Cricetulus griseus: one gene and its partners. The protein of the gene in region 1 interacts with the protein of each later gene in a biochemical or structural test. Links are inferred from orthologs where the notes say so. Each region holds a gene or a part of one and is shown on either strand. Other genes may lie near its edges. The genes, in order: Siah1, Hipk2 and Pou2af1.

Region 1 (6,983 bases):
TGACCATTTAGCTCAAGTCGATAAGCAAAATTTTCAGCTTGCTTGCGTGTTCCTATCAGCTGTACAATTGCGAAGAACTGCTGGTGACCATCGTATTTTTCCTGTTTCTCCAAGACTAACATGAAATGAAAGCCAAAACAGGACTGCATCATCACCCAGTCAACAGCACCAGGAAGGTTAATGTCTGTAGCAAGGAAAACTATGTCTTCTCCCTGCAGGGTTGTAATGGACTTGTGCTGATGCATCAGGTGGGGCATAACAGCATCCAAGGAGCCTTGCCACTTACAGGAAGCACCAGGGCAGGGGCAGGAGTAAGGCCTGAACTCACAGAGCTCCTCGTGCTCTGCCTTTTCTGTGTGCGGCAGAGTTATTTCACATCCAGAAGAGGCATATTTACAAGGGAAAAGTACTGAATTGGCCACTTTCTCCATAGCCAAGTTGCGAATGGATCCCAATGGGCCCCGGCAGGTCGGACAACATGTGAGTTTGGGGCGACAGTTGCTACAAACAAGATGGCCACTCTGACACTGAAGAATGGGTGGCAACACATAGTCAAAGCAGACAGGACACTCAAAAAGACTCGCCAAGTCATTGTTGGATGCAGTTGTGCCAGTCAGGGCAGGTACCCTCTGGGACGGCGGACACTTTGAGGTGCCAGTGGGTAATGCTGTAGCAGTCTGACGGCTCATTTCTGTAATGAAAAACAAGAAAATAAAAGGAGGCAGGAGAAAGTTATAACTATAACACATTTATAGATAATGTACACATGTCATAAATACTTGTCATGAGCAGAAGAATAAAGTTAAATAAATATGGTTTTAAAACTATATACAAATAAAATAAAAATTAACATGCTAAAGGTGAATTTTATTTACATAATGAGTAAACCATATTTCAAAATGTTGTATAGCATGCTTAAAATACCTTCCTGTTTAAAAAAAGTTATGAAAACCTCCAGGTGGGCTACATAAATAAGAAGTGCAACCAGGCAGTGTTGGCGCACGCCTTTAATCCCAGCACTTAGGAGGCACAGGCAGGTGGATCTCTGTGAGTTCAAGGCCAGCCTGGTCTACAGCTCAAGTTCCAGGACAGCCTCCAAAGCTACAGAGAAACCCTGTCTCAAAAAACAAACAAAAAGAATGTAAATATAGCCATGCCTTTAAGCCCAACACTCAGGAGGCAGAAGGAGTTAGATTTCTGAGTTTGAGGTCAGTCTGGTCTATAAAGCAAGTTCCCAGACAACCAGGGCTACACAGAGAAGTCCTATAAAAAAAAAAAAAAAAAAAAAAAATGTAAGGCTGGAGAGATGGTCCAGCAGTTAAGAACACTGCTGAGAGGACCAGGGTTCAAATCCTAGTACCCAAATGCAGGTTCAAGAGAGGCCTCCAGGGAACTACATACATGTGGTGCACAGACACATGCAGGCAAAACACCCATACACATAAAATGAAAATATTTTTTTTTAAAGAAGACCTTAAATACAACATAAGACCTATTTGGGCTGGACTTTTTCTCCCCAGAGTTCCCACCTCTGTCTACTTCTCAAGTCTGAGTTAACTCTCACAGCTTCAGGACCTACAGCCCGAGTCCTATGTAGTCCATATGCCAAAGGATATCAGAGCCAGACTGATTCTTTCCAGCAGGGAGCAGCATCTTCTGGAGAGCTGTGTTCTGGGAATGGGGCTCGGAGGGCCCAGGGAAAGGAAGAGTTGGCATCCCACTATCCACCTGCAGCTACCTACCTACTGGGTCTTCTTTCAAATCAGCGAGACATCATTTTGTCTCCTGTCAATCAGTACCCACCTCCAGGCTGAAGCAACAGGAAGAAGTGGAAAACCATCGTTCAGTAAGTTATTGTATTTAAGGAAGTCCTTATTCTACCTTTTTAAAATGGACACGGTTGTATTCTAAAAAAACTTTACTTATAAAAAAAGAAGAAAGTCCTTATTCTACTTCCATTCTGCAGCACAAATCTCATGTAACATGCAAAGGGAAGGGAAAGTCAGGAAACAATAGGAGGAAGTAAGGGTAAAAGCATCACACAGACACAAACACAGGATGGGGAGAGGGGCAGACTCAATAAGCAAAGAACTCCCCTGCACCCTTGGGTTCCCTGTGTGGCTGCAGCAAACACCAACTATACACACTGATTTCAGAGTCATCTGGAGGAAGGACCAGCCAGTGACAGTCAAGCACAATAAGCTCCTTTCCCCAGGACTCTGCCTCTGGGGAATTTGGCAGGGTGCAATTTATCTCAGACGTTGACAAAAGATCAATGTCCTAATAGTGCACTCCCTGAGACCACACTAAATAATATAGTAATTCTCCCAGTTATAATCACTCTGTTGCAAAGACCTTTAAGTTTCAAAAAAACTGAAGTTACAAATGTAACCAAGTCAATACAAATGGAATTTTAGTAGACAGTAACATTGTAAATAAGGGGGCTAAGAGCAGCACTGGAGGTTTAATTTTTTTTCTTTTGTTACTAAAGCAATACTAGCAAGTTCAAAGGGCAAAACAGTACTAACAAATGTTTAGCTTGCCTATATCCCTTGGTTTCATCTCCAACACATACAGTATGACAAAACTCCACCACAACAGCTCAGACTCATGGAGGAATACAACATGAATTAGCTCTCATCATCTGAAGCCCTGTGATCCAGGTGTCATAATAAAATGGCCCCTCTGTATTCTACTTTCCACCTGATCAAATTCTTTATGCAGCTGATTTATCCACTTTAGGTCAATGGCCTTGGCATTACCAAAGCCATGGGTTTCCCATCTGCTTCACCATGTTAACTGTGGCTCACTTAAAAGAACACAGATTTTGGAAAGTGATTTCTCGAAACAAACAGTTCCGGTCACATCAAAGAGCTCAGTTTATATTTAAACACAATATAGCCAAGTTCAGAAGAAAAACACTAGCCCAGTGCTTTGACCTGGCAAAACACCTCTAACACTTATCAGTGTAAGTTTGGGTTCATGTTACATCGTATTTTTATTGCCTTCCAAACACTAGAGAAAGCACACTGATATTCTACCCAGCATGATAAACAAAATGTGGTTGGAAGTATGACAGCACAGATAACTGCTACACCATTCCCTAGTTAGAAGGATGGAGTGTGGCTCCATCTTGAGCCACAAAGCCTCTCATCCACAAGCAGCTGCAAGGTAGAAACCAAGGACAAGTCCACAGAAGTCTGGACACACCTGAAAAGCTAGATTTAAGCAGGAGTTGCCACAGCTCCACTGAGCCCTCAATGCCGACTTTCACCAAGCCTAAACCAGAATCTATGGATTCGTGCAGTCCAGTTTCTGTCTCGGAAACAGATGTGTTTACGTCAGTACCTTTCCTCTTCCTGGTCCTGGTCCTAACTGTCGGCAAGCATGCGAGCAGGACTCCCTTCCAGGAATGCAGAAGGGGTTCGGGCGGCTTCCAGGTCATAAGAATCGAGGCGTCAGGTTCCTGCAAGCCACAAGGCCAGCCTGCACCAGAGGACCCTGCAAGGCCCTTGGCTCCTAAGCATAGAAGGCTGCTCACTTCCATTCAGTCTTAAGACCTGTCCCCAGGAGAGACAACACCTCCCATGAACTCTAAACTGGGTGGTCAGCAGAAGATGGCCAGCAGCTCTGGCGTCCTGCTGCTTAGGCTCCACCACCTGGCAGGCCCTGGGGCAGGGCCTCGAGAAGGGGCGGACCTCGCTCCAAGCCCCGCCCCACAGACCACCTGGACAGCTCTGGCAGACGCCACGGCAACATGAAGCCTGTGCACTTGGCAGCACTTAAGTCCCGTAGAACATGTTTCCGGAGGTCAGGATCTCAGTGCTTTCCTAAGTCTCTAGGGTAAGAAACACACAGGGAGGAAGGGAAATGCGCAACCAGGCAAGCACTCCTAATGTCAGCTTTGTCCTGTGAATTCTCAAGAAAAACATTCCCCCCCACAACTCACTCAATATTTCCAGGCCTCAACTACTATTTTCCTCAATTCTAACTCTGCCGCTTGTGTGCCAATCTATTTCAAATGCCCCCTTCCAGTGCAGTGAGAATGTAAACACACTCAGGGCATGTAAACCTCCACTTCTACCTCCAAATTGAGGTTATATATTCATCCCACTCTGGGAAAGTTTTCTTAACTGGCCTCATTAAACTAGAGTAGCTTGCCTTGTTTTTAAACAAGCACTACCCTTGGCCCATAAAGTCCTATACACTTCAGACCTGGATGGTGTCAGCTGAATCTTCAAAGCTTAAGCTGGTATTACATCACACTTAGGACAATCTTCAAATACAACCAGAAACTGGCAGTGAGTGCCCCAATACAATGGGTTTCACACACCTTCTGCAACTTCAACTCCAACCACTTGCCCACCTTTATTGTATTCAATCACTTCCACCTAACTGTTTAATACTAGACTACAACAAACAGCTTTAAGAACAGAAATATAAACTACACATTCTAAATTGCACATCAAGCCTATTTTGGCATTAAGTTTAAATAGCTATTATCTAAAAGGAAATAAATAGTATTAATGCCTTTAATTTTGTCACAACATTTTTAGGGCATTTAGCCACATTTTGTTGTTGTTCTTTTGGGAGAATTTTTGTTTGTGGAGGCAGGACTCACTCAATCATCCTAGACTACCACTGATTTCTAAGAGTCTGAAAATGACTTTGAACTTCTGATAATCCAGCTTTCACCAACTTCCAGTGAGTACTGGGACTGCTCACCACCACACCTAGTTTTGTGTGGTGCCACACCTTTGGAAAAACTAAGCAAGCACTCCACCAACTGAGCTATGTCCCCAGCTCATATACATTTGTTAATGTGCATGGGTGTTTTGCCTGCATGTGTATATATACACCACCTGCATGCATGATGCCAGCAGAGGCCAGTAGAGGGCATAGGATATCCTGGAACTGGAGTTTGGACAGTTATGAGCCATTATTTAGGTACTGAAAAACATCCAAAAGAGTAGCAAGTGCTCTTATCTGTTGAGCCATCTCTCTAAGTCTTGCACTCTTTATTTAAAGAAAATAAAAAGGTAGAATACCAAGACTGCTCACCCCTTAATTTCCCTAAAATTCTTAGAAATTACATGTTTATTATAAAGTTACAATGCTAAGGGTTATAGATGAGTGATGTGAGGTCTAAACCCCGAAGACACGTAGTTAACTGAGGTGCTTATTTAACATACAAATTGGACTTGGCTGCCAGGTTTTCCCTGCATCCCTCAGTCCCTACCTGTTACAGGGTATGGCTGGCACACCCCACCTCCTACCCTACATTTCTCCAGCCCAGGGGCTGAGCTGCCCTTCCCTATATAATCCAGCCTTTTTGGTTACATGCACACCCTCACTGTCTATCCTGTACTCTCCTGGCTCTCCTCCCCCCCTTTCCTCTCTCCTAACATGACCTGGCTCAGGGTCATGTTCACTCTGGACTCTCCTAGATATCCCTGCCTCTGGCTATGCTCTCCCTTTTATCTATAATAAACCTCCCCTCCACCATACCTAGGAGCAGTCATATCCTTCCTTTTTAATTTCATTTTTTTTTCATTCATCCGGTACCCACAGCCGGGAATGGCATAGATGAGCTCCCTTCCAAGTACCTGGGCTGCTCTGAATCAAGCTGCTGATTTGCCTCTCCTAAGGTTTGTAGAGATCACTTGTTTCCAATAACTCCTGTCATCTATCAAATTTGACCCCAAATTCTAGAGTCCGCTGTCTCACTACTTCTCCCCCAACGCCCACATGCTCTAACCACGCCTGTCCTTGTCTATGCCATGAATGTATCTCTGACTCCTAGGGCCTTCTCCATCTCCCAAGGAACCCAGCCACCTGGACACTGGCCTCACATCGCAGCTCCACCGGCTACATCTGTCTGGATCTCTACCAAGGACACTTACCGTCTCCCTTTTCCCCTGCTCGCCCATCTCTCTTTACTGGGTAAGTGTCACCTCAAGCTGCCTCCTTTGTCTACTATTACTACAAAAGCCACACCAGGGTGACAGGAAGCTCCTCTCGCCCTATTTAGGCCCCAGTCACATGGGAAGGACACCTTTCCTCTGGGATTTGGAACACTTTTCTCCCTGACAAGTTTCCCATTCCCCTTGAGGACACCCTGGATGGAAATTCTTGTCACAAAGGCTCTTTATCCACCTCAGTTCAGTTGCATTCTCTCCCCTCCCCCTAGGCCCTGTAGTCCATCCTGCAGGCCACCACTCTCTCAGGTCCTGCTGTAGTACCTAGTTTTTTCTTTCAGCTCCCTCCTAAAGTCTCCTTGACCCTCTGCAGCTTCCTGCTCTGTCTCTTCCTTAAGCCCTCCCAGGCCTCTCCCAGCAACTCGGAAGCTTCTCTAAGCCTGAGCCCACCTGGGCCTCTATACACTCTCACTCAGCAACTTTTGGGAGTTTATAGAAAAGTCCTCTGAGGGTGGAGTTTCATTTCTCAACATCCGGACTATAAACAACTTGGCCTCAGTACCAATGGCCAAACATTGGCACACTTGATTTCCAAATCCTCACAAATCGTAACAACTGTCACAGCATAAACAAATGATCCCCAAATCTCTCTTATCTAAACTAGCTCTGCTCTACACTTCTACTTCCTACTCTTAAAAATCTTTAGCTCTACAATTTCTCCTTGCTCTGCTATCAAAGTCTCTTAAGACTATGCTGTAAATTCTCTCAGGATTTGTAAGTTCATTGGGTATGGTTAAAAATGATCTATAAATCTGTAACAAAACTTGGCTTTAAACTTATAACAAAAGGCTTATAATTAAAATCTACACATAGGCAATCTTAATAATTTGCTACAAGTTACTATACATGTGATTCAACTCTTGTTTAGAACATACTGCATATGTACTTAGATTCAACTCTTTTTTGTTTGTTTTTTCAAGACAGGGTTCTCTGTGTAGCCTTGACTTCTGCTTCCTGAGTACTGGGAGTAAAGGTGTGCACCATCACGGCCCAGTTGGATTCAAC
Region 2 (6,400 bases), on another chromosome or scaffold:
CTCAGAACGTCCTTTCTGAGAGGCAGATAGTGGGCTGAGTGACAGTGGCTGGCACAAGAGGGCAACAATACAGAAAAGGTTTCAGAATCCCAAATGTAACTTGAGTCACATTTTGCTACAAGGATGCATTGCTTATTAAATATAGTTAGTCTCCATGCTTAATTTTTAGCAAACTTCAGTGAAGCTGGATTCTGTTCACTAAAAGCAATACAGGTTAACTAAGTAATAAAACTTCACACAGCCCTTGACTTGGCACAGTGTTCCCTATCTTCAGGCCAAGAACTGGGAAAAAAATAGCCTTTGGCACCCTGAATTCATTAAGTTTAAATACAAAGCGGCGGCAGCAGCCTCCATTTTACAGTAACTAGAGAGCACTCCAGCAATAGCCACCCCTGGGGCAAGAGGTTCCCTGTATGGAACCATCCTGAGTTGGCTTTCCAGGAAGGGCCAGGCACTCTCAAGAGAGCACTGGCTTTTGGCCTCCTTCTTTACCAAGGAAGGTAGTTTCCCACTGTCCAGCCTCCACCTTCCTGGGTGGCCCCAGCAGTGGGCCCATGGCTCCCCCAGGCTGAATGGGGGAAAGAAATCGAGCAGGGGTAGATTTATCCTCACAAGTATGTAGAAGCCTGTGAGAACTCCTCTTAAGAGCAGAGGGCAGTATGTATGTCTGAATTCAGAGAGAAAGCCATCACTGTCCCATCTCAGATTCCAGAGCTAGGAATCTGAACTCAGGAATCCCTCTTAAGAGGAATGGAGAAGACTCGAGACCCGCGCTCTGAGTCAGATTAAAACACAACAAGGCAGAAAGGAAGGAATGACTGAGGGCCGAGGGTGGGAGAGCACAGACAGAACAGGAGGAGACACGCAACAGTGCTGCAAGCAGTGACTGGGCTCAGGAAGAGGAGCAAGTCAAGGCAGGGGAGACCAAGCAGACAGGCTGGCAGTCAGCTCTCAGAAGAGGTCGTAGGCCAGCGGTGTTAGCACAGCTCAAGTCTGCCCAGTCTTCCCACTAGGTCCTTGAAGAAGGCGTGGGAAAGCATATCCTCCATCAGGGTGTGGGACAGGAAGTCCTGGGATTCTCCTACTTTTTCATGGGAATTTTGAGTTTCTTTTCTTTCCACTTTCTGCCGTGGGACTGGTCACTACTACTTCCAGCACGGCCCTTTGCCATTCCACAACCCTGAAACCCCCTCTCCATTTCTACCACTTCTGGCCCTGTGTCTCCCACATAGCACACAGCACCAGGCTATATCACAACATGTGATGGTTCAACAGCACCCTAGAACTGGTATAAAGTTCCCCCTTGCCCCCGCTTCCAGTCATAGGTCAGGAAATGAGAATATATAGAAGTTAGGCAGTGAGCACAAATCACACAGCTAACGAGTGTAGGGATCAACCCAGTTCTGGGTTCCAGTGATGCCAAAGCCTTCTGGGGACTCCTGGGGGTCCAGAGCCCAATTTACAACCTTGGAGCCAGCTAGCATTGTGCAAGGCCCACATCAGAAATGAGACAAACACTTGTGTGCTGTCTGAATGTGCAAGTTTTCTTGCTAGAGTGTAGTTTGTCGTCCCCGCCCCCCCCACCAAGGGTCATCAGTTCAAAGAATGGTCCTCAGTATAGTGATGGTGGGAGGTGGTCCAGTCCAGTGGAAGCTCCTGATCAGTGCGTCCTTGGCAGGAATTAAGGTTATAAACCCCTGAGTTAGTTCTCTTCAGTAAAAGTTGTCTTAAAAGCTTGAAGCTCACCTGAGTCTCTTACTCCCATGCACGCTCCCACCACTGTGAGGCCATCGACTATAAGGCTGTTGATGGCATCATGACCTTGAACTTTCAGAACTTGAGCTAAATAAACCTTTTTCCTTTACAAAATTATACAGTCTTAGGTATTTCCTTATAATGTTTCCGCGTAGATGTTTCCTGACATAAACGTAACACAGGAGGCAGCAACTGGCCCCAGGACAAAGCTCTTCCCTTCCTCCAGCCTTTGCCACAGGAGCATAATAGTCTTCTTAGAACACTGCTATCAACCTATTGCACCCTCCCCCAATACCACTCCCCTCCCCCACAAAGCCTTGCTCATTCGAAGTTTCCAGAACTTGTTCCATGCATTACTCACAAATCCTCTGATCTGGCCAGGCAGTTCATCCTCATCTCCTAAACTAGTCTTATATTTTGCTACCCTGTGTCTATTATTGGCACATCCTTCCTGTTCTAGCTATCTGGATTCTCTCCATCCCAAAGAACCTGACTTCTCCACTATGCTCTCCATCTGGCTCCCACAATCCTTTTCAACTCCAATACCAGACCAAGAATGTTACTTGGATGGCTCCTTAGCTGGCTTCTCATTGTCATTCCCATCTGCATGTATTCTAATTTTTCAACTACATTAAGGTCTCTCACATTTATTTTTGTGCATAATAGCCTGAATGCATGTATGTATATCATATAAATGTCTGAAGTCCGTAAGAGGGTGATGGATCCCCTGGAACTAGATTTACTGATAGTTGTGAGCTGCCACGTGGGTGCTGGGAACCAAACTAAAGTCCTGTGTATGAGCAGCAAGTGCTCTTAGCCACTACGCCATCTCTCCAGCCTCCGTATTAAGATCTCTTTCTGGCGGCAACCACTAGCTATGTTGGTATCTTCCCCAAAGTGACTCTCTACATCCCTGGGGATGCCACTGGACCTCCTGCACCCTATGACCATCTCCATGGAAAAAGTCTTACCTGTAGTATCTAGATTGCAAGTAGGTAGAGCAGACGGCTTTGGACACGTGACTGGCTGAACCAAAGTCAATGACCTTCACTCGGTATGGCTGTCTGGATGGATCTACCAGCATGATGTTTTCTGGTTTGAGGTCAGCATGGATAAGACCCAGGCTTTTTAGTTTCATCAGGGCTGTAGCTACCTGCTGGAGGACTGGGCGAATGTATTTGAGGGGCAAGGGGCTAAACTTGTTCTGTTTCAGAAAGTCATAGAGGTTCTGCTCCAACATCTCAAAGACTAAGCATGTGTGATTCTTGTGTTGGAAGCATTCATAGGCCCGAACAAAGTTGTAGTCGTCAGCACTCTCTGTGCTCAGCCGGGCTAGGATGCTCACTTCAATCTGACCTTGCCGGGCATAGGAAGGGTGGTTCTTTAGGATCTTAATGGCTACAATTTCATTGGTGCCCCGTTTCCAGCACTTGACCACTTGCCCAAATGTCCCTCTGCCCAAAAACTCTAAAACCTCATAGGTGTTGGTCATGGAGCACAGTACTTCATGCTGCACCAGCTGATAGTCACCTTCGCTGTTGGAGCCGCTGTTTTTGGAGGTGGCGGTGGATGTGGTGGCAGTGGCTACAGTGGCCCCGCTGGCATTATTCTGAATCATGGGTGGATGCTCTTCAATGATCTGCACACTGCTAGTGTTCTCAATCTCCTCACTCTTTCGCTTGAGTCCACATTTTTGGTAGGTGTCAAGGAGGCTCACAGTGCTTCGACGCATTAGGTTGTGTGGTCCGCCAAGGACTTGCCCGGCGACAGAAGCGCTACTTGCTGATGTTACAACTATGTGTCCAGTACTTCCTGGGAAGATGATGGTCTGCTCGTAAGGTAGGCTTGGGTTTGGGACTGGCAAGGAGGTGCTGACGGTTGTGGAGGCTGGCTGAGAAGGTGCTATGTTCTTGCTCTGGCTGTACACTTTGCTGTGGGAGCCGTACCCAGTCATGTCCCAGTTGGAACTTGGCTCTACTTTAAGTTTCTTCACACTACAGAAGGCACTTGATTGAAGGGTGTGAGGGGAGAAAACTTGCACATGTGAGGCCATGCCTATGCGGAAAGGAAAGGGAAAAATAAATATCTGAGTTACCCCTCCATGAATAAACTCCACTGATTCATTTAGGCTCTGGCCAGATTGTCCTTCCCCTTCAAAAGCTTGAGGACCAGGGAGATGGACTAGTGGGTAAAGTACTGCTCTGAAGTATAAGCACTGGAATTCAGATCCCCAGAACTCATGAAAGCTGGGCACAGTCACATGTACCTGTGACCCCAAAACTCCCACACCAAGATAGGTGACATAGACAGGAAAGTTTCCAGAAGCTCACAGGCTAGCTAATCTGGCATATGCAACAATGAACAGGAGACCATCTCTCAAACAAGGCCAAAAGTAAGGCCTAACACCTAGTGTTGTCCTGTGGTCTCCACACGTTTCTTGGTCTTCATGTGCACACACATGCACACACATGCATGCATAATGACTTAAAAATACAGCATCTTGAGAAAGCAAGTCAATTCCACTCAGAAGCACATTCTGGACTCCTTGTTTGAGAGACTAATGGTTCCCATGTTCTGCCATTAGACCTACCAGCCTTAGGAGGGTAGGAAACTCAGGAATAGAGTTGAGAGTCAGAACTGGGACTTAGTCTATCATTTATTTCTTGGAACTATACCTGTAACAGAAACCAATTCTTCATTCCTATTCAGGTTGTATCTTGCTAAATCTGGAGACTCTATCAAGTACCCAGGTAAGTATTACATTTGTAAGTATTACAAACTTAGCTCCTCTGTGTAGTGAGCTTAGCCTTCTCAATAGAACCTAATAACCAGGTTTACTACTCTTAAGAACCATGTTCCCACACAAATCTCATCACAGGGATTCTCATGATATTCTGTGTTCTGAATGAGACATACTCCCTACCACCTGGCCTCCTGGTCTTCTTGAATTCTATAGGGCTGCAGATAGATAATTTGGTGTTTAGCTGGCTTAAAAACATGCATCACTTTTCAGACAGGGCCAAGTAGCACCATTCATATACATTAATAAATTTTTCTAGAAAGTCCTGATATTTTAGACCTGGGGAGATAGCTCACTCTAGATAAAGTGTTCACAATACAGCATAAAGGACTGAACATGATTTCTAGCATTGACAGACAGACAGACAGACAGACAGACACACACAGAGAGAGAGAGAGAGAGAGAGAGAGAGAGAGAGAGAAGTTGGGCATGGATTTGGATTCTTTGGGGTTTATTGGCCAGCCAGTCTAGCCTAATTGGTGAGTTCCAGATTCACTCAGAGACCTCATCTCAATATATATATATATATATATATATATGCATATATATATGTAAAGTTTATATATTAAAGGAGGCACAGATGTCAACTTGTACCTGTACACACGCACGCACGCACGCGCGCACACACACACACACACACACATATACAGTGGAAGTTGAGAGAAAGAAAGAACTATGATTTCAGACTGACATATCTATAACCTAGATAATCTTGGAACTATTTAAGGTCTTTCTGGAGTAGCTATACAATTTATAATTATGGTGATATTGGAAAATTTTTTAAATATATATATATTTAAAAATTTATATATATATATGAAAAAACACTACAGTGATAGGAAAGGTAAAACCCTTAAAGGTACAAGAACAATCACTTTCTAAGCTGCCTCTGATAACCATTTTGTGCAAGTATGTGTGTGTTTATATGAACACTCATGTCTGAATGTGCACGCATGTGTGTACAGACACCAGAAGTTGATAACAGGTGTCTTCCTCAGGCACCATATTTTGGGAGACAAGTCTCAGTGAATCTGTGCCTCACCAATTCAACTAGACTGGCTGGCCAGCAAGCCTCAGAGATCTTCCTGTCTCCACCTCCCCAGAGTTTGGGTTACAACCACCTGGCTTTCTAGGTGAATGCTAAGGATGGAACTCAAGTCCCCGTGCTTACATGTCATACTGATGAGCCAGCTCCCAGCCCCACCATTTCTTACAAATGCGGTTAGAAAGTGGAGAGTCTGTCAAGCGTCACTGGCACTAAACCATCTAGCTTCAGTTCCTCTCTGAGTGTTTCTTTGACATCTCCCTCTTGACCCCATCACTTGTCCCCTGATCCTCTCTCTGTTCAGCAGATACCCACCTACTTTGCCCAGAATTCCAAGGTCAGTCTCAGGTTCTGCTAGTCTCCTAATCCATAGTCTCCCATTTTTCTCTGGAATCCTGCTTCCGCCATTCTTTTTCCTTGAGGCTATTGATTTATTGGACATACATCTTTAGCTGGTACTGAATAAAGTTGTCCAAATGAATTACTGGCCTAACCTCTCCTTTCTGCCTTTAAGTGTGTGTGCATGCACAAACTTGCAAGACAAGAGGAGTGACAGTCATAGCTCCCTCTTCACTCCTTCCGTCTAACCTGTAAGCCGATGCTCTTTTCTTCCATGCTCACTGCTAACCCTCCCCCGGCACAGTCAACTACAGCAGCCCTGTGTTCTTCAGGCAGAAACTTCCTAGTTTCGTGCCCTGCCCTCCTCCACCTCTCAGCAGCATCTGACCCTCTGACCACCACTTTCCTCTGGATGCTCTTATCCATGCCAATGTGAATCTGTAACGCCTTCCTCCTCCCTG
Region 3 (7,160 bases), on another chromosome or scaffold:
TCAATAGCCAAGAAAAGCAAGAGTTTTCTCAAGGGGTACTATTAGCATGGGTAGTAGATAGGGCTCTGCGTTTGTGTGACATACCGTGACATTAGTAATGAGTGGAGGGGAAGCATAGGTCAGCACCGAGGAGGGTCCCACCACTGTATAGCTGGGGCACACCGGCTGCACATACATGTCAGCTGAGTAGGGGCAGCTGACAGCTTCGTGGGACACATACTCCGTGTAGGGTGTCCATGAAGTCAAGGGCTGAAAGGTGGCTGGGGCAGGCTGGGAAAGCCAGCCAGCACACAATGTCCCCTCCTCTGTTACTGTGGAAGCAGAAACATCCATGTCAAGGCAGGAAGGACCTGTAGGGAAAAATGAAATTACAAAATGGCAGACTCTACCAGAGATGGTCCCCAAAGACACCAAGGCTGCAGAGAAGAGCTCTTACCCACTGTGCTGTAGGTTGCCAGGGGCTGGTGGGGCAGCACCACCTAGAAAGGGGATGAGAAGACCAGAATTGGTGTTTATCTATCTATAGCAAGCTCTCTGCAGGTGTGCCCAGGGGCCCAGGGTAGGAAAATGATAGGGGGAAATCTCCTGCCGCATACCTCAACCACCACCACCAGCATTTTTTTTTGAGGGATTTATGTTTCGATTTAGTAAGAAAGCTGTACAATTAGAGAAACTTTCTGAATCCCCAACTCATACCACGGTGTGAACCATTGGCTCCCTCAAGCCTCATCAATAGATATTTCCCACTTATGAATAAAAGCAAGAAACCCTACTATTCCCCTTACCACCCTGACAAGTGGAACTGCACACACACACACACACACACACACACACACACACACACACACACACTGCAGACACACTGCCCCACAACAGCCCCTCACCGCAGTAGGTGGGCCAGCTGTCCCACTGTTGGCATGGCCACGCTTTCTTCTCAGTAGCTCCTTCACTGGCTCCTTGACTCGAACACCCTGGTATGGCCGTGGTGGTGCAGGGGCTTGCTCTGGGGCTGTGGCTGTAAAGAGGAATGTCACTGGTCCCCTGACCTTTCACAGATGACCCCAACCACAAGTGCCCATTTTCTCTGGTGCCCAACTCTCTAAGTTGTACTTAACACAGAGAATCTCTGTGAGGCTCCCTGGGGTATTTCTCCCAAGACTCCATCTGCCCCCAAACTTTCTGGGGCTCTACTATTTGTCTAAAAGTGACAGGGCTTCCCAATGGGATCAGAACACCATTTTTCTGTCCTCTTTGCATGATACATAAAGTAGCTCCCAAAGAAGGCCTGGTTACACTCGTCAGCATGTTCTTGTGTGTTTCACCTCCCTATCTTCATTGCTATATCTGATAGCCAGAATTCTTATTCTGGGGCTACCTCTCTGGCTCCTGCAGACCATGGAGTTCCTACATCCACCTCTCCAACATGTCTAGAGTTGATTGGCATTCATATAAGTGGTAGTGAAGGATGACAATCACACCAAGAAGCCTTAAGTCAGGTATAGCTGGATCCAAATCCCATCTCAGTCACAATCTAGCTATGAGATCCTATAAAGTAATTACATTTCTCTGAGCCTCTTAATCTGTAGATTCTTATCAGATGAGTGTTGGTCAGAGTAAATGAAAACGTGTATGTATCATAGAAAATCGGGTTCAGAGCAACCATTTAGCTAACAGGGTTTCATTTGTTTCCTTGTCTCTTTATTTTGTTGGTGCTGCGGATATAACCCAGAGCCTTAGACATGTTAGGCAAGTGTTCTACCACTGAGCTACACCCTGTACCTCTCAAATTCAATCAATCTATGGCCTGCTAGGTAATGATTAGTTTTTCTTGTTCATGTGAGCTTAAAATGCTTCCAATGAGATTATAAGCTTCTTGATCTATTGTGCCTTGTCTCTGCCTTCTCAAGTGGCAGACATGCCTAAGTTATCTATATCTTAGTCTTGGCTGAACGTTAACTAATCATCTGGGAGGTGCTTTCAAATGTACTTCCTTTTATCATCCTTTCAACTCTCCTGGACCTTTAGGGTTAATGGACTGAAAAAAAAAAGTGTCTGCCAGGTGCATGGTGATCCTCAGTACAAGAGACAAATACCCAGTGATGATTCATGTGACCTGGAGTGGAGTGTCCACCTTGCTACTGGGAAAATGTTTCTGTTCCCTTTTGTCAAAAAATCCAAGAATCTAAAGTATCAACAAAACCAGAGCCAAGGTATAGCATTTTCTCTTGCTGGGAGATCAGAAACAAACTACCTATACAGATGGAAAGGCCCATGGAGGGCAGGCCAAGAGCTAGGTCACCCAAGATCAAGAAGCAATGGTCTCTGGGACTCACATAAGGAACCCATTATCCTCCACTGATAAGGGGCCAGGGACCCAGGCTTTGTATCAAAGGCCCGGAAGCCTGGGTATCTGTTCAACCCGGATCCACAGGGCAGCCTGAACTGAACTTTGTTCAGTAAACACCCAGCTGATAGTGATAACAATGTGTGCCTCATGCTGCCCAAGATCTCCCATGGGATTCTTAGGCTCCCAGCACCAACATGATCTGGTCTTGAAGGACAGGAGGCAAAGAAGCCATGCAGAGCCAGCAAGCAAAGGGGAATGACCTTTGGAGGCAGACCGTTAGTGTCAGGACCCCAGCTCTCAGACTAGGTATCAGACCTATATATGCTATGGTGTCCTAACTGACCACAGTGCAAAATCTACTGGAAACTGATGTAAAATACAGATACCTGGGATCTTGCTCCCCAGAAATATGGTTTGGACAATCCACTTAAGTCAAAGAGTCTGGATATATAAAAATTATGTAGATATATAAATTATATAAAAATGCCTGAGGTCATCTTCAAACCTGACTCTGATACTTCATCCCTTAGTTAACACAAGAGCTGCTCCATAACATCCCAGTAAGAGATGATCCTCGTGTTAGTGTCCTCTGTGATAAAAGGGAATCCCTACTCCCATCCTCATTCTTCCAAAAAGTTTCTGGACACACGTGGATGTGGGCCCTGCACATGTGGGTTGTAAAGTATAGCAGAGGAAAGAAGCAATACAATACCTACCAGTGAGATGAATGTAACAAATGAGAGGTTTGGGCTGACGTAAGAGCGTAAGAACCAGCATAGTATTTTGTGCCCTGAAACCACCTTCATCATTGTTCAAAACAGCAATGACAACAGACTTAACAGCCAAAACTACCTGCGTTCAAATATGGGCTGTCACTTACTAGTAGAAAATCCGCAGATTTATGTAATGACTCTAGGCCTCAATTTCCTTATCTGTAAAATGGAGACATGTTTTTAACTTCTCAGTGACATGTTTTTAACCTCAAATCTTCCTTCAGAGTGCAGCACTCCTGCACCAGCAATGCTTGTGCACCCTGTCCACAGAATACTGTTGAGTGCTACACACAGACACAAGTGTGTATGGACTGCCATGAGCGACAGTAAGGCATCTCTGCCGCTGCTTCATGCTGCTGCTGCTCCCTTCTCAGGATCATTCATGACCACAACAGTTTTCTTCACAGACATGTCACTCAATCTCTGCCTACCTCTTCTTAGGTTTCCTTCCATTCCTCAGGCACAGAGCCTAACTTGAGATACTGTACTCTCAGAAAAAAATAATGAGGTTTTGGACCAAAGGAAGGAGATGGTCTAAGTACTATGGTCACACCCTGAATTCAGTTGGGGAACACTATGCATACGTCTCAGTCCAGATCACAGACAGGAATGTTACCCATGGACCTCTGATTTGCATGTACAATTCTGGGGAAGGGCCTAGAGGCCTCCAGGTCCCATTCCCTCTCTGGTGCTATTTCCTCTCTTGAACTGGTCTAGTACAGCTGGGACACTCCCACAGCTCTGTGTCCTTAGACAGCTGACAAGGAATCCTGTAACTGGCTCCCTGAGCAGGCAGAAGTGGGGTTGCTTCTGAGGTGTCTCTGCAAAGCGCCTTGAAATATGAGAAGCCAAAGCATCAAGATGTCTGCCCAGGAGGCTCAATAGACAAGAATATTTGCAAACTGACAACTTGCAGTTGGGGTCTTTCACACTAATCTACATTAAGTAACAATCAGCATAATTCCCCAGTAAACACTGTGACCTCAGCTGCTGCCAGCACCAGAATGGAGCCCACTATGGAAATTTGGAAGAAGAAAAGAAGTTTGTCCAAAGTCACCATTGCTTTAACTTGGGGCTGCTGAGTCCTTGAACTGACATAACTTTGCAATAACTGCACTGAAATAGTTCAGGACTTTTTAAACAAAATATTAACATAATGTAAAATAGCAGTTTTTAAAATAGTATGTGAAGAGAATAAAGTAGAAATGGAAATAATACTGTATCATCAGAGAAGAAGAGCATCCAGACTAGTGATAAATAGAGAGTTTAATAATTCTCGAATCAAACTGCAGCTCTGGGCAGCCTTCTAGTAAAGCTAGATGGTTCCTCACCCTTCCTCCTGCGATGTGAAGAGCCCTTGAGCGTCTGTAGGCCTGAAGAGTCCATCACAATGGAAAACCAGTCCATCTGAACATAACCTCTGGCAATCTCTTTGGACAGGAGTTCACCATACTGCCTTTCTTTACTATTGCCCATAAACTGCCAATGTATTCCAGGAAGAAAAAAAAAGTTTTAAAAGGCTAGTTGATAGCAAAACACACCCATTTGGTCACAGACATAAGAGAGAGCTTCCTTTTTCCAAAAAGAGCAGTAAAAGATCTAGAGGCATAAACAGTCGGCAGAGGGCATTTCACTTCCCCTGTCACACACCCAGACCTGCTGCAGGAATCCTGGGGCTGCCATTCCACCACAGCACAACAGTTTGAAACCAACAGGTTATATAGCTACCTGTATGCACAGTGGCATCAGTACTCAGGCTCCACCAGGCTGAGAGAACACAGGTTCCTTCTGAGTTAAATAAGCACTCGGGTTTTCTCAATGAAGGCATAATAAAATCTCACTAAGGAAATATGCAAACCCATCAGCACCTATTTATTTAATAACCCCATGCAAACCACAATACACATCCCACTCAACTAAAGAGCCAGGAGCCAGGTCCTAGTCATCAGTAACTTGTCTTTCAGAATAGCTTTAAAAGAGCCCATGTCCATCAGGTGTTTTCTGAGAGAAGAGCCTTGCCTCACACATTGAGATTTCCCATGGGTCCCCAGACAAGCAACAGACTGGATAACAGTTAAGAGCTCTACCCTAAAAACGGTGTAATATGCAGGTTAAACTGGGATTTACATCGTAGGGAGCCACAGAACAGGCATCCTCACAGCTCTAGGAGCCTTTCTGTCCCAGATTGACAGACTGCTCAAGGTTGAATTCATAACTAGTTGAACCTCAGGGGTCACTTTGAAAGATGAAAGCCACCTAGATGAGAAGGTCACATGACCCATACTATCACTTAAGACAGTTCTGGTATCAATCCCCACCCCATAACCACTTTGAATGTTTTCTTTCACTGCTGGTGTTCAATTTTATCCAAAAGAAAATAGAGCTCATTAAGGAGAAAGACAACTAACACTCTCTTTACTTGTAGCAAAACCAAAACAAATAATTGAACAATAGGACTTCAAGCCTAGGGCTAACGAACTTGTCCCAGCTTCTACTGAAAACAAAATCTGAAAACTTGCTGACACTTTAATGTGAAGAGTCTTGTTTGTCTTGGTGGCCTGAGATAGCTGAGGTCTTCTGGGAAACTTGAGCTCAGGTAGGCCACAGGCTTATTCACATTCTTTACGGAAATGCTGCTGCAGGTGCTCTTCTTAGAGTCAAGTTCTCAAGGTTTTCAAATTTACCATTTTCATTTATGGAGACTAGCTGATACTTTTTTCCAAACAGGAAGAAAGTTGTTCTTTGGCCAGAAGGACTTGACAGACTACAGAAAGATTTTCCTGTCCAATTTACACCAAATTGAATTATAGGTGTCCCACCCCATGACCTCAGGCAAAGCCAGCCACAGGTCTCTGGTGTGGAGTTCTCTATGTGATGAGGTTCCTTGACTCTTTACTCACAAATACCACCAGCCAGGATTCCTTTCCCCTGGTGCCCACTGTGCCTTCCACGCCACCTGTCTACCCTGTTTCCAAATCCACTGTGGAGTAGCAGGATGCAGAAAGCTGCAGCAGATATCTCTCTGTATGTATACCCATTTAATGATGAATGAATGGTGGCAATAGTCAATGTGTTTTCTGGTCATAATCTTAACTCCCAGAAATTGGGAAATCCTCACCTACAGTTTTGTGATGTTCTGTGGTGTAGTTCTCAGAGCCTCTGACACAAATGATATCATGGGAGGCTGCATCCCAACCTCTGAAATAAGCAAAAGATGAAATTTACTCTCCTTCCCTTCTTTTACTGATGTAGAGGGTGCTGCTCATTTGAACGCATTGAATTGTTCAAGGACAGCATTCATCAGTACCGGTGTCATCAACCAAATTCAAGATTTCTGATTCCAACATAGACCTTGTTTTTGCCTCACCATGCACCTTCTTCTTGCCTCTATATGCCCCATTTTTTCTTCTATGTGGTGTTGAAGGTTGGTCATCTAAAGGTCCCTGAGCCAATCCTAACCTTCCTTCCTCCAGTTGGAATATTGGCTTGGACCATGCGATCCTGTCTCTCTTGATGGCCAATTCTCTGAAAACAATGGTGGTTTCCAGGTGATAGAGGCCTCCACAAGAAACTTGCCAAAAGTCTACTCACAAGAGGAATGACAAGAACCGAGAGACTCAATTCCTGGCAAGGTTTTATTTTGGGTATTTTTCTACTGAAATGACAGCAAATAGGTCCACCTGAGAAACCAGCTGCATCTGTCTGCCTTTTATAGAAACTAAGGTCACCAGAGCAGAAAGGGTTCCTATCTCAGATACACCATGTCTGATTCAGGGCCAAGACCAAGAGACATCTGGTAGACCAGTTATCTAGCAAATACTTGTTGAGCAGATCAGACTAGGTCCCTGCCCTTGGGGAACTTGCAATCTATTCAGGTGGGATATGTAGACTTTACTGAACTAATCACACAAGCAAATCTAGAATTACAAAAATGTGATGAAGCTATATCTGCTTTAGAACTGCAGAGTTCTAACTTCTGCTTCCACCTGATTCAGTAACGCTTGAATGGGCAGCAAGCTGTCTCTAGAGGCTATATAAAG

What was found.
Region 2: of the proteins of Siah1 (region 1) and Hipk2, one has a biochemical effect on the other in vitro, tested with the Homo sapiens proteins (4 studies listed by BioGRID, with this or other methods). The link is inferred for Cricetulus griseus from reciprocal best matches to the Homo sapiens genes SIAH1 and HIPK2.
Region 3: the proteins of Siah1 (region 1) and Pou2af1 form a complex in vitro, tested with the Homo sapiens proteins (2 studies listed by BioGRID). The link is inferred for Cricetulus griseus from reciprocal best matches to the Homo sapiens genes SIAH1 and POU2AF1.

Annotation. Positions count from the first base shown.
Region 1 is NC_048596.1:162,342,037-162,349,019, forward strand, and holds the start of Siah1 (E3 ubiquitin-protein ligase SIAH1), read right to left. Parts: upstream 4,756-6,983; 5' UTR 3,548-4,755; coding exon 3,349-3,547; intron 692-3,348; coding exon 1-691. UniProt on the Homo sapiens protein: E3 ubiquitin-protein ligase that mediates ubiquitination and subsequent proteasomal degradation of target proteins.
Region 2 is NW_023276806.1:189,350,549-189,356,948, reverse strand, and holds part of Hipk2 (homeodomain-interacting protein kinase 2), read right to left. Parts: intron 3,811-6,400; coding exon 2,727-3,810; intron 1-2,726.
Region 3 is NC_048597.1:162,975,680-162,982,839, reverse strand, and holds the start of Pou2af1 (POU domain class 2-associating factor 1), read right to left. Parts: upstream 4,597-7,160; coding exon 4,452-4,596; intron 1,016-4,451; coding exon 885-1,015; intron 480-884; coding exon 437-479; intron 351-436; coding exon 85-350; intron 1-84. UniProt on the Homo sapiens protein: Transcriptional coactivator that specifically associates with either POU2F1/OCT1 or POU2F2/OCT2. It boosts the POU2F1/OCT1 mediated promoter activity and to a lesser extent, that of POU2F2/OCT2. It recognizes the POU domains of POU2F1/OCT1 and POU2F2/OCT2.